Linked DNA regions of Kluyveromyces lactis. The main gene of each other region encodes a partner of the protein of the gene in region 3 in a complex. Links are inferred from orthologs where the notes say so. Each region holds a gene or a part of one and is shown on either strand. Other genes may lie near its edges.

Region 1 (4,170 bases), about 180 kb from region 3:
GCTTATTCTGGATGTCCTGTTGTGCAGATATTACACTGCTTGAATTTTCCAATATTGTGTATAATATGCCTTTGAACATGTCCAAACGATTCACCCTAACCGAATTGAAGGACACGTATTTTACCCTTTTCCCTTGATTAAAATCTAAATTCAAACATTTTGCCAGATAAAGTGAAGTTTGTCGAATTATCCATGTTATCCGAGACGAGGAAAGGTCTGATCGCTTCTCACTGTGACGCTTATTTTTAGAGACTGAAATGAACTGTAGAATCCAGCGGAAAGAGAAAAAAGCGGTCCCATATTCTTCATCTAGAAGCTCGAAGAATGCTTGAATAATTCTGAAGTTGATGATAATGTTTGTCTTCCATCTAAGAACAAAATGATCATCTGCATATCTAGCACATAGATTATCCGACATATAATTTGCATCCACTGTAAAATCAATATCGGGATTGTGATCAAGAATACCCTGCATTATAGAAATGATACGCTGTTTGCTAATATTACCATTTTGGAATCGTTCTTTCACAAGATTTAAGGGAATGAACGAGAGTATGATATCCACAAAGTCGTCCCATACTTCCGTTGAATCTTTGATTAGTTGCTTGGCTTCAAGCGTCTTGAGACATTTTTCCAATAACGACTCAAAACAAAGTAGAACATCAACATATGAACCTAATAGTAGATGACATTAGAGTTAGTATTTACCATTCAATCGTTATCATTGTTAGCTTTCATTTAATAATGTCACTTACCATTACATTTCGAATTTTTGTCGGTCATGATATCACAGTTATTGTTGCCGACTAAAGGGTGCTAATCACGAGAAGCAAAATTATGCTTGCTTAAGGCGAGGATCATAAAAGCTACACCTCTTGTGTTGGTATATATCGTTTGTGCCAACAACCAAAAAATGCATTCTAAAAGGTTCACTTCATGTGTGTCTGACACCCATCGATAGAAAATATCATACTTTTCCTTAGAAGAACCGAAAATCAATTCCTAGAATAGCAAACCTGCAACCAGTGCTATACTAGCAACTCATATACTAATACCCTGAAGAGATGCGACCGGCTATGGATACATAATAATAAAACTCACACATCGCACAGTTGACTCTTTAATGTCTTAGTCTTTAACAACTACAAATGTAATATTGACAGAAAATCATAAACCAAAACAAGAAAGTTTACAGTATGTAACGCACAACTAACAAAAGTTATTAAACATTCGATAAAAATACGGAGCCAAAATATCACTTCATTCTGAACCATCAATATCAGTATCTGCTGTTTCATATGGTATGACAGGAGACGAAGAAGACAGTGGTATTACCAAAGAGACTCCCAATTACAGTCCAGATCGAAAACAGCTATCGAACAAGATAGAGTCTACTTCCTCAGATGAAATAGTGTTAAAAGAAAATACAAGCACCCGAACGCTCACGGGAATTAACAAGGCTATAAAGGCTTTGGGTAATACTGCTCTCAATTTAAATCCAACGAATAAATCCCTGTTAGAAGACACACCTGAGGGAAATCGAGATCTCGAGATTAGACGAAGAATTGATATCCAATCAAAGACTGATGTATTGCAACGATTTCAGGAGAAAGACTTGAATATCGAAGTGGAATTACCGTTTGATTTGACTCAAACTAAAGGTATTCTTTTGAATAACAATGACACATATCAACCTGAATTATTAGACACGCCATTAAAGAATAAGATATCGATTCGCTCACTTAGGAATGCTAAAGGTGAAGTGAAGGCAGCTTCAGAACCGATCAGCTTGATTGAAAATATCAACTCGTCCCCAGAGGGGCATCCACAACCATTTATAATGACACTGAAGGATGCAGATAATGGTAATATCTTGGGTGATATTGACACTCAAAATGTAACTCAAACATCTAATGAAATGTTAGTACCTGCAACGAATTCAGCTAATGTAAGTCAAACACAAGAAATCAGGTCTACATTGGCCGATGAAAAGATGACTCAGCTAATTAGAACTCAGTCTAATAACCTCGATGTCTCAGAGAGCTTATTGAAACTAGATGAACAGTCTGCACTTCAAGAGACATCAATAGTGCATACATCTCCAATCAATTTTGGCTCATTTCATCACAGTCTTCTTCCTTCTACCAGAACTATATTGACACAAAAGGAAACAGGTTCTAATTTCAACGAAGAAATCCAGTTGGTTCATTCTCCAGCGGTCGTTAATCTCCGACCCATGCAGCAGGCCTCCAATAAATCACCTTCAACAGTATTTAGTGAAGAAGAAAGAGAAGAAGAAAAAGAAGATCAGGAAGTAGCCAAATGTCACTCGTCTATTGAGATGAACAATGAATCTTCTCAGAAGGAACAAACAGATGAAAACTCGAGTGAAATGAAGTTTAAACTCACATATTATGTCAAACCATCCAGTCAGATATCCGACGAGGATGAACAAATTGGGGGTGTCCGGAATGATGCTACCGATTTGAACCAACGTAAACACAATGAACATAATCCTACGAATGATGTCTCAAGAGAGCTCTCGAGACTGGATACAGATCAGGAATATGAACAAACTCAGGAACTACCTGAAATTTTCGAACGCAATGAGTGCAAGCACAAACCGTCATTTGAGTCACAAGAACAACTTAATGTATCCAAGAAACGGAAAAACAAGCAGCTAATATTAGAAGAAGAATTTGAAGATAGTAGTACACCAAGTAAAATGACACAATTTACAGCTTTCACTGAAGGTGTCTACCTGCCGAAAGAACTTCGTATATCAGATGAAATGCAGTTGACTAAAAAAGATGTTTTATTCAATAATGCGGTCTGGTATTATTTTAATGATTGCAATTTTTATCCTGGTAAGATACTTTCCGAACAGCGTACGAAGCCTGGGTATTGCTCCGTTCTTTTCGAGAAACGTCAAAATGATGTTAGGGTGGAAGACATTTACTATTTAGATATTAGATGTGGAGATAAAGTCCACTGGAAGATGAATGAATATCAAGTCGTAGCTTTAGATTGCCAGATCCCACAAAAAGAAGATGTCATTCGATGCATTAGAGGATATGATACGGTGCATTTAAGAAAGGTACTGAGAAACGGAAGACTCAGCAAGAATGATATTGTAGATACCATTGCATCCATATACGTTACCACCGGGGAGTGGATCAAACGAACCAAAATAAAACTGGAAGATGAAGACAATGATCCTTTGGATGAATTGAGACGTTCTGTTAGAAGTCGATCAGTGAGGGATTCTATTTCTCCTATGAAGAAAACCGCTCAAGATTATAACAAGTCAACTTCAGAGATTTTCAGAGACACTTTCTATGATACTACTATAATGAGTGGATTAGAAGGACAGGGAGGTTCTGTTTTCGAAAAGTGCATCTTTGTATTGAGTGGACTTAATGATATGGATAGAAAAAGGTTATCTTATCTAATCGAGATACAAGGAGGATATGTCTCCAGCGTAGGGTTTGAAAGTCTGTTAAGATATGAAGACAGATCAAGAGAGTTTAGTTGGAACAATCCACGTTTTAACAGTTACCGTTTTGGTTGTCTTATTGCGGGAAACTTTTCAAGAAGTCCGAAGTATTTAGAAGCATTGGCTTTGGGATGGCCTGTACTACATTGGAGGTTTATTGAGTCATGCATAAACAAAGGTTATATCTCGACTCAAACGATACTACAAAATCTTTTGCCGAGCGGAGAAAGTAACAGGTTGATGGCTGACTTCAATCTAGGTATTATCAAATCAAGCAATGTTTTTAGTTTCCTGACAAACTTCAATAGCAGTTTGACTTTAGATGCACAACTAAACAATGCCAGAGTAGTTTTGGAAGATTACTCGATATTGATTTTAGGAGACTCCGATATGAATTTTTTCGTGGACTTCATTTTCCAGGTGTTTAAAGTTGGTCATTGGGAATACACGAAAAACTTGAAGTTGAAACCACAGCAAGAGTTGGACGATGATCTGTTCGACCAACTTGTAGAATTTCGGCATAATTACCACAGTAAGAAGATGATACTTTTCATCAACGAGACGTCTTTGCAGAACTCATCCGACTGGGAAAATAGCATTTCTAAAAGGTTCCTGATGGAGGGTATAAATGATTTTAGGATCAAAAATAAGGAATGGCTGGTTCAGACCGTAAT
Region 2 (2,948 bases), on a different chromosome or scaffold from region 3:
ATCTCTGTCAGGTTCCGAAAGTCTCCAATTTCCGGGTAATCTTATTTACCTCATAATATGTCCCGACGTTGAGTAACTCATCCTTGACTACAATGCTGGCTAAAGGACCCATCCATAGTCCAAATATACAGGGATTGAACTGCTGTGAAACTGCTATTTTAGAGAGATACCACCTTATCAACTGCTACTTTTGGAGGGTTTACTGTTTTCCCAGCCGGATTGACGATAAAAACGGTAGGATTTTCTCTTTTCGGTATGGGGAACGAAAAATGTACTTTTTCAGAAATTACGGGCGTGTGGCGTAGTTGGTAGCGCGCTCCCTTAGCATGGGAGAGGTCTTCGGTTCGACTCCGGACTCGTCCATTTTCTTTTTTGTCTTGAACGACAACATTGCATTCGAAGCGTATAAAGACCTTCCCTCCAAGCTAGTAGTTGATGCAGTCTTGATTTTTTGGACGCTTCATCGACGTGAGGAAGAGTACCGGTTTGTGTTGGTCAGCAATGTTACAAACGGGATTGAAACGATACTTATGAAAGGTATATAAAAGTGCGTTAATTTGGGAGGCCGCCGCGGGAGGCCAGGACGTGGAAACCGTTACTATTATTTGTGTTGGGTAGTATCCTGCGGCGTAGGCAAATCTGCATCATTCTCACTATCACTTTCTTTTTCTAAGTCTATCTCTTCCGCTTCTTCCTCGTCTTCCTCGTCTTCTTCAGGTCCCAAAGATTCCGCTTGCGATTCACCCTCGTCGTTCTTAACGTCAGAAGCAGTAGATTTCTTTGGATCCCTTTTCAGTTTCTTCTTTTCAGGAGCAGTTTCCTCACCTTCACCATCATCTACATCGTCTTCTTCTGCAAGATCTTCTTCAGCGTCCTCATCTGCCTCTTCATCCTCATCCTCATCCTCCTCCTCTTCTTCCTCTTCCTCAGGCTCTTCTTGTTCCGGAGGATAGAACTCTTCTTCACCCTCATTATCCCAAACGATATTAAACCTAGTAACTCTTGGTTTCTCAGCAAGGATATTTCTCACCACATGATCAATAGGCACTTTCTGAGGTGGGTTCTCTCTCAATTCTTCCAAATCGTATTCGTTGTTTACGTAGTACCCAACCCTTACAAACTCTTTACCATTATAAGAGCACGATAGTAAAATCACAGTAACACTGACCAATTCACTAGCAGGAATCAGATCTGGTGAAGGTGCATCTGCCACGAATTTGAACTTGTTGATACCAACGGGTATAGGACCCACCAGGATAGAATCCAATTCTTGATCATGGTCAAGTGATCTAGAAGAACCAACATACGTCAATTTCCATTCCAAATCGTGTTTTAATGGCTCAAGACATTCAAAAGTGATTTCAAATTCATAAGGGTCTGTGAACTTGGCTGGATTGTTCAATACCTTGATTCCTAAAAGTGATACAATAGACATGACCGAAAAACCGCTGTAACTAATATAATGATCCCTACAGTAACTCTCCCGATGCCTTGATACGTAGTCACTGGATTAACAAAGCTTGTTCTTAGAGCAATGCTTTTGTTAAGGTTATGTGATGTGATGTATAATCTTTTTTTCTATCTTTATATTGAATAGTTGAAAAGTTTAAAAGAAAGCGCGTCGCGTGAAGTTTTCAATCAGACAAAGAAAAAGACCGGTAGGAGAGAACGTTGAATCAACAAGGGCTGCTGTAGGTTGATAACACTCTAACAACAGTAGCTCGATAATAATACGATCAAAAGTTTTATTGAATGAAACAAAAAAAAAAAAAGAGATATAGAAGTGAATATACATACCTTATGTAAAATTGAAGTTCAAGGTGAAGGAAGATGCAATGTAGAGGGGAAGCCGCAGCACGGCCATTTCCCCTTCTTTTTTTTTTGTTACACCGTCAACGATGTATAAGTATTAGATTCTTGTACGAATTCTTGCGACAAAGGTCTTCCATTATTGAGCGAGCCATACGATAGCACGGCCGCAGAGGAAGTAGACGATGATGGTGAATGAGAGCCATCCAATTCAGAGAGAAACTTCGAATCGTGAACCAAAGATTCTTCAAAGTAGTAGATGGATGCAGAAATGCGTACCACTCCGATGGTTAGCACTATGAAACCGAACACAAGCCCTGTGTATAAAATCTCGGCTGTATGCGGTACCAATGAATCGTGATAGAACATTGTACTGTTCAAGATTGTAGTCAAATTATAGATGGAGAACACAAACGGATAAAGGATCGATGTAGAAAGATGAGAAAGCCCTGCGTTCAACAAATACAACTGAGTCAACGAGAAAGTTACCAATACCAAAACGAGCAAGACCATATGTAAAGAGATGGACCATTCAGTAACGATAACGTTCGACACGCATTTGGCAATGAGTAAAGCATGAGCTGACCATATACCACTAGCAAATACAAGCGAAAACCCTTTGACACGTTTCCCGACACCGAAAACACCCACCACAATAGACATGATAGCTAAAGCGTTGGTACCGACAAAATAACGAATAAATTTTTCACTTTGAGCCAATTCGCACAACTCTTCAAACGTATGCGTCAAAGGAGTGTTTATGAACATACATGACATTGAAGCCATGATGGTACCACCAGCACAAACAAAACCAGTGGGAATCAGGGGGAACGGTTCTCGTAGAAGCATATGGGAAAATAAAGAGTTGAAAACCAGGCCAGATGCCTGTAAGGGAGCCAATACGATCAAGGGCAAAGTAGCTATTTGAATGACACAACCGAATAAATTAGCCAAAAGGAAAAGCGAAAACCCCAATTGCCATCTCTTATTCCTATAAACGATTGATCTAGGTGGTACCTTCAGTTCAGAATGAAGGGAAAGAAGTTCCGAATTATTGTAGTGGAACATTTCAATACATTCAGCTTTCCGTTGGAAAACGAGTCCTAATGCCTGTAAGGCATTAGCCACGATAGCAGCCA
Region 3 (4,130 bases):
CTGTTACTCAGTGATTATTGAAGATTTAAATGAAGAAATTTACTTATTAATCGGGGCAGTATACGTAATACGTTATAGTGTAATACGAGATCTCATGACTGAGGGACGAGTAGTTTTAATATAATGAAAATTCTGAACAGTATTACTGAACCTATGACTCTTCGAAAAATATAGGTTTGTAACGAATGTTTGCCAGCAATAATTTCTCAACAATGTTATTGCGAACACAGCATGTTTTCTACCTAGTGTTATTGACTGCTGGTCTATAGTGCTTTTGAACCAATTTGTATTAGTATTACATCAATTAACGTTGAAAAGTCTATCTAGCATACTCAAAGTGTACCTATTTTTCATATTTACTGTATGCAAAACCCATCCGGCAAGCATATGATCAGCTCAGAGAAATCCTTCAATATCTGGTTTCTGGGCTTGGGCAAGCTTAGCCCTTTTGGTTGTCTGCGGTTGAGATTGAGATAACGACACTGAATGTATTCTTTTCAATCCTGTAGTCGAGTTCATCTCAACGACAGAATCTAATTCCTCGATATTTTGCGAGTTGGCATCTATGTTACTGGAAGAGGACTGGTTTATATTAGATTTGGCATGTTGTGATGATCTAGACTTCATAAATTCCATAAACTTAGGGACTAAAGCTAACTCCTCCTGTGTCTGTTTATGTAGAAGTGTCTTGTTTGTTTTCTCATTGGTATCCAGCTTCCCCTCGTGGAACAAACCAGTGGTATCATTGAACTCAAGCTGGAAAGAAACAGTGACATCATTGATTTTATCCCATATAATTTGGATTTCATCGCCATCATGAAGTAAGATCTTTGTGCCCGGAGTGATTTTCTTTCCATTAACATAGCTTGAGTTAGTACCACTTTGGCAATACCATACATCATCAAGACCTTGAGCTGGAGATTCATAAATACTGTCACCGACAGCGTGTCTTTTCTTCAATATGAAGCAATGTATCCTAGATAAACGATTATCATCAATTTTACAGTTGCATTCGTCTGACCTACCGATGAAGAATGGATTTATCCCTTGTTTTACTTGGACCTTACCTGAAATAGATGAGCCAGGTAAGGAATGCAAAGTGAGAAATAGCCCCTCCCCATTGACCTTTGTAAGTGGTCTATTGATCTTTTTGTTCTTATTGTTTGAAAGTCCTTCTTCACCAGATTTATAATTAACATTAATAGCTTTACCAGTATTAGGATTTGAAAAGTTAAACTGCAAGTTTTGGGATTGTGCAATTTTAGATGGTGCAATTTGTGGTTTTTTGAATACAGGCTCTTTATTAGTTTCTGCAGCAGGCGCCGTTATTTCTTTCTTGATAATCTCTAACCTCTTTTTCGCAATGTATGATTCGTATTCAGCCTCATTCATACTGTCAACAAATTGTTGCTGGGACAAGGATTGTGAGATGGATATTTGTGACTGCATGCTATCAACGTATGCCATTTTCATCCATGGATGTTGCAGGGCCTTTCCTGCGTTCATTCTTTCTTTAGGGTCCACATTCAACAGGCAATCTATGAAGTTTCTTGCCTCTTCGGATATTCTATAATCCTTTAATGGTCCTTCATGATAAGAGCCCCGTTTTATTTGCTTGAACAATTCATTCTGAGACTGACCACTAAAAGGCAAGTGACCTGTAAGAATAACGTAAACTAGGCATCCAATTGACCACATATCAACAAGTGAGGAATACAGATCTCGATTAGTTTTATCTTCAGCATTTTTCCCGTCTATAACTTCAGGTGCAACATATGCTAGAGTACCACAAAAAGTGTTCAGGAATGTATTCTGATTTTGTACTTTTGCCAGGCCAAAATCGGTTATCTTTATAAGAACTGGATCGTCTTGCTCTATCATTATATTATCAGGTTTCAAGTCTCGATGGCTAATTCCTTGATCATGCATGTATTTTACTGCCTCTAAAACCTGTCGTGTTATCTCTCTGCCGGCATCCTCGCCTACAGTTCCATGGGCTGCTACGAAATCCATTAAATCGCCTCCGCTGACAAACTCCATCAACATGTAATAATTATCATTGTCTTCAAAAAAGTCCTTAAGTTTAACTATCCTGGGGTGATTTAATTTCTGCAATACATCTAGTTCCCTCTTCACTCCATCAAATTTATCCATTACTTTTCTCTTATGAATTATTTTGACCGCAAATGTTTTGCCTGTTGACCTTTCGACAGCTTTCTTCACAGTAGCGAAAGCACCTTGACCAACAATCGAATCTGATATCGAATAGTATTTGTGTATTCCTTTTAATTCTGTATGTCCCATTGATATCTGATATTTGCTCTTTGAAGATGAAGCAGGTGAAGTCACATCCTTCATCATATTGAGTTCTTTTAGTCTATTTTTGAAACTATCGTTGATGAAAATCACTAAACTAACGACATCGCTGGGAACGCCGACTCCAACACTTATTTCATCCCCTTGGGTCAAGATGTGATTCGTATCCTTTTGTATCCTCGCTCCATTTAACCATGTTCCATTGGTTGATGTATCCTTCAGCATTAAAGTTCCTTCTTCACCCAGCATTAGCATAAAGTGTCTGTTGGACAGTCTTGAAATATCCCCCAGATAATAATCACATCCTTGGTTTCTTCCAAAGGTCCATGTTTTTTTAATTGATGATTCCTTTTTGAATATACTTTCAGGTTGAACCTTCAAGTCCCGTAGACTTATTTGACCAGTTGTACATATTACTCTGCACACCACATCGTCGTCTATTTTCTCCTGAGAAAACTTATCTATTAGGTACTTCTGTGTAGCCTGAGTGGCTTGTTGTGTCGGTTGCGTTATATCATCCATGTCAATATCTTCGTTTGCACAGCAATGATCAGTTGATCTCTAAAGAGGCTGGGAAAGGTAACGGCAAACCTCAAAGGGACAACTTAATGCCTCAATATAGAACGATTTTCACAAGTGTGCTATTCTATAGTCGGTTGTGACTGTGTATACCCACTAAACTGCCAACACAAAGCTAATGAATAATGGAATAAATCGTTCTTTCATAATGTGTATGATCGCTTTTGCAATTCAAAGATCCAGATTATTTCAGAAAAATGTCAACCTTTAAATCGCGTAAATATTCGATGAACATTAAATATTACAATGACGCGTAAAAGTACATACATATATACAAAGCCAATGATCAAAGATGGATCAGTCTTTACTCGGCACTGCTACAACGTTGGAGTGGGAATTTGAGTAAATAGAACGGAATCATTGATAGAAGTTCTATTATGGCACATTGCGGCATCAGGTGATTGGTGCCGAATCTTCTTCAGAACTATGTGAAGCCGGTTTATACTGCAACAATCCATATGGCATCAATTAGTAAATACCATGGTTGAATAACTTGTATCAGCTGTTTCTTATTCTAACTCCAGTCATGCTACAAAGACTTTAAAATCTTTACTTATCAATAGATGGAAGTAAAGATTATAAATCGATATGGTTGCTATCAAGCATAACACTCCGAATTTTCAGAAATTCTTTGCATTTTGCTCATATAACGTTATTGTATTTGAACTGTTAGAGCCTTTTCTTGAAAAAACTAGGTTCTATTCATGTTTAAAACATTCGTTAAGACAATTCCCCATAACCGATTGAAGAAATGATATATATAAGTTTTCGTTTTATTAATACTGCAATAATGTCCTTCAACGAGATAGCTATGTAGTAAAATTATATATCAGCTTTGATCTACTGGTGAAGGTTCAAATCATACCGTCAACTTTAACCGTAATGTTACGGTAAATAACAAAATCGTAAATTATTAATCTCACATACCTCCATAACGTTATGTTAAGTTTCTTACCATTCTATCTGCTAATTAAATGACCTGTTCCCAGAATCAGGACTGGATAAAAAGTCTACTACATCCGTTAGTTTTTCCCAAGGAAACCCTTTAAATACAAGAGCCGGGCTCAGTAGTCTTTCGCGTCAGATTTTGAAGTCTATTTATATTTACTACTAGTTCATAAATTGGACATTGTATAGGAAAGATGCATTCCTCTACATAATATTTTTGTTAAATTAACTACCCATCATTACTTCCCTAAAACCATGTAAACTGATAGGTATGGTGCATACCAGTA

Evidence for each region.
Region 1: the proteins of RAD53 (region 3) and RAD9 are in contact, whole or in part, in an NMR structure (PDB 1K2N), measured with the Saccharomyces cerevisiae proteins. The link is inferred for Kluyveromyces lactis from reciprocal best matches to the Saccharomyces cerevisiae genes RAD53 and RAD9. Residues at the interface, in NP_015172.1 of Saccharomyces cerevisiae: Arg605, Asn616, Arg617, Leu618, Ser619, Arg620, Thr654, Asn655, Ile681, Trp682, Asp683; in NP_010503.1 of Saccharomyces cerevisiae: Val600, Glu601, Leu602, Thr603, Gln604, Glu605, Leu606.
Region 2: the proteins of RAD53 (region 3) and ASF1 are in contact, whole or in part, in a crystal structure (PDB 2YGV), measured with the Saccharomyces cerevisiae proteins. The link is inferred for Kluyveromyces lactis from reciprocal best matches to the Saccharomyces cerevisiae genes RAD53 and ASF1. Residues at the interface, in NP_015172.1 of Saccharomyces cerevisiae: Val803, Lys804, Arg805, Ala806, Lys807, Leu808, Asp809, Gln810, Thr811, Glu816; in NP_012420.1 of Saccharomyces cerevisiae: Phe28, Asp37, Glu39, Asp58, Ser59, Ile60, Leu61, Val62, Gly63, Pro64, Val65, Pro66, Val67, Val69, Asn70, Lys71, Phe72, Val73, Ser75, Asp77.

The regions. Positions count from the first base shown.
Region 1 is NC_006042.1:1,205,702-1,209,871, reverse strand, and holds the start of RAD9 (chromatin-binding protein RAD9), read left to right. Parts: upstream 1-1,303; coding exon 1,304-4,170. Other genes in the region: ADY4 (Ady4p), read right to left, coding at 1-475. UniProt on the Saccharomyces cerevisiae protein: Essential for cell cycle arrest at the G2 stage following DNA damage by X-irradiation or inactivation of DNA ligase.
Region 2 is NC_006041.1:1,330,494-1,333,441, forward strand, and holds ASF1 (nucleosome assembly factor ASF1), read right to left. Parts: upstream 1,436-2,948; coding exon 602-1,435; downstream 1-601. Other genes in the region: KLLA0_E14917g (uncharacterized protein), read right to left, coding at 1,885-2,948. UniProt on the Saccharomyces cerevisiae protein: Histone chaperone that facilitates histone deposition and histone exchange and removal during nucleosome assembly and disassembly. Facilitates histone deposition through both replication-dependent and replication-independent chromatin assembly pathways.
Region 3 is NC_006042.1:1,025,733-1,029,862, forward strand, and holds RAD53 (serine/threonine/tyrosine protein kinase RAD53), read right to left. Parts: upstream 2,839-4,130; coding exon 397-2,838; downstream 1-396. Other genes in the region: DNA replication protein SLD5, read left to right, coding at 1-124. UniProt on the Saccharomyces cerevisiae protein: Controls S-phase checkpoint as well as G1 and G2 DNA damage checkpoints. Phosphorylates proteins on serine, threonine, and tyrosine. Prevents entry into anaphase and mitotic exit after DNA damage via regulation of the Polo kinase CDC5.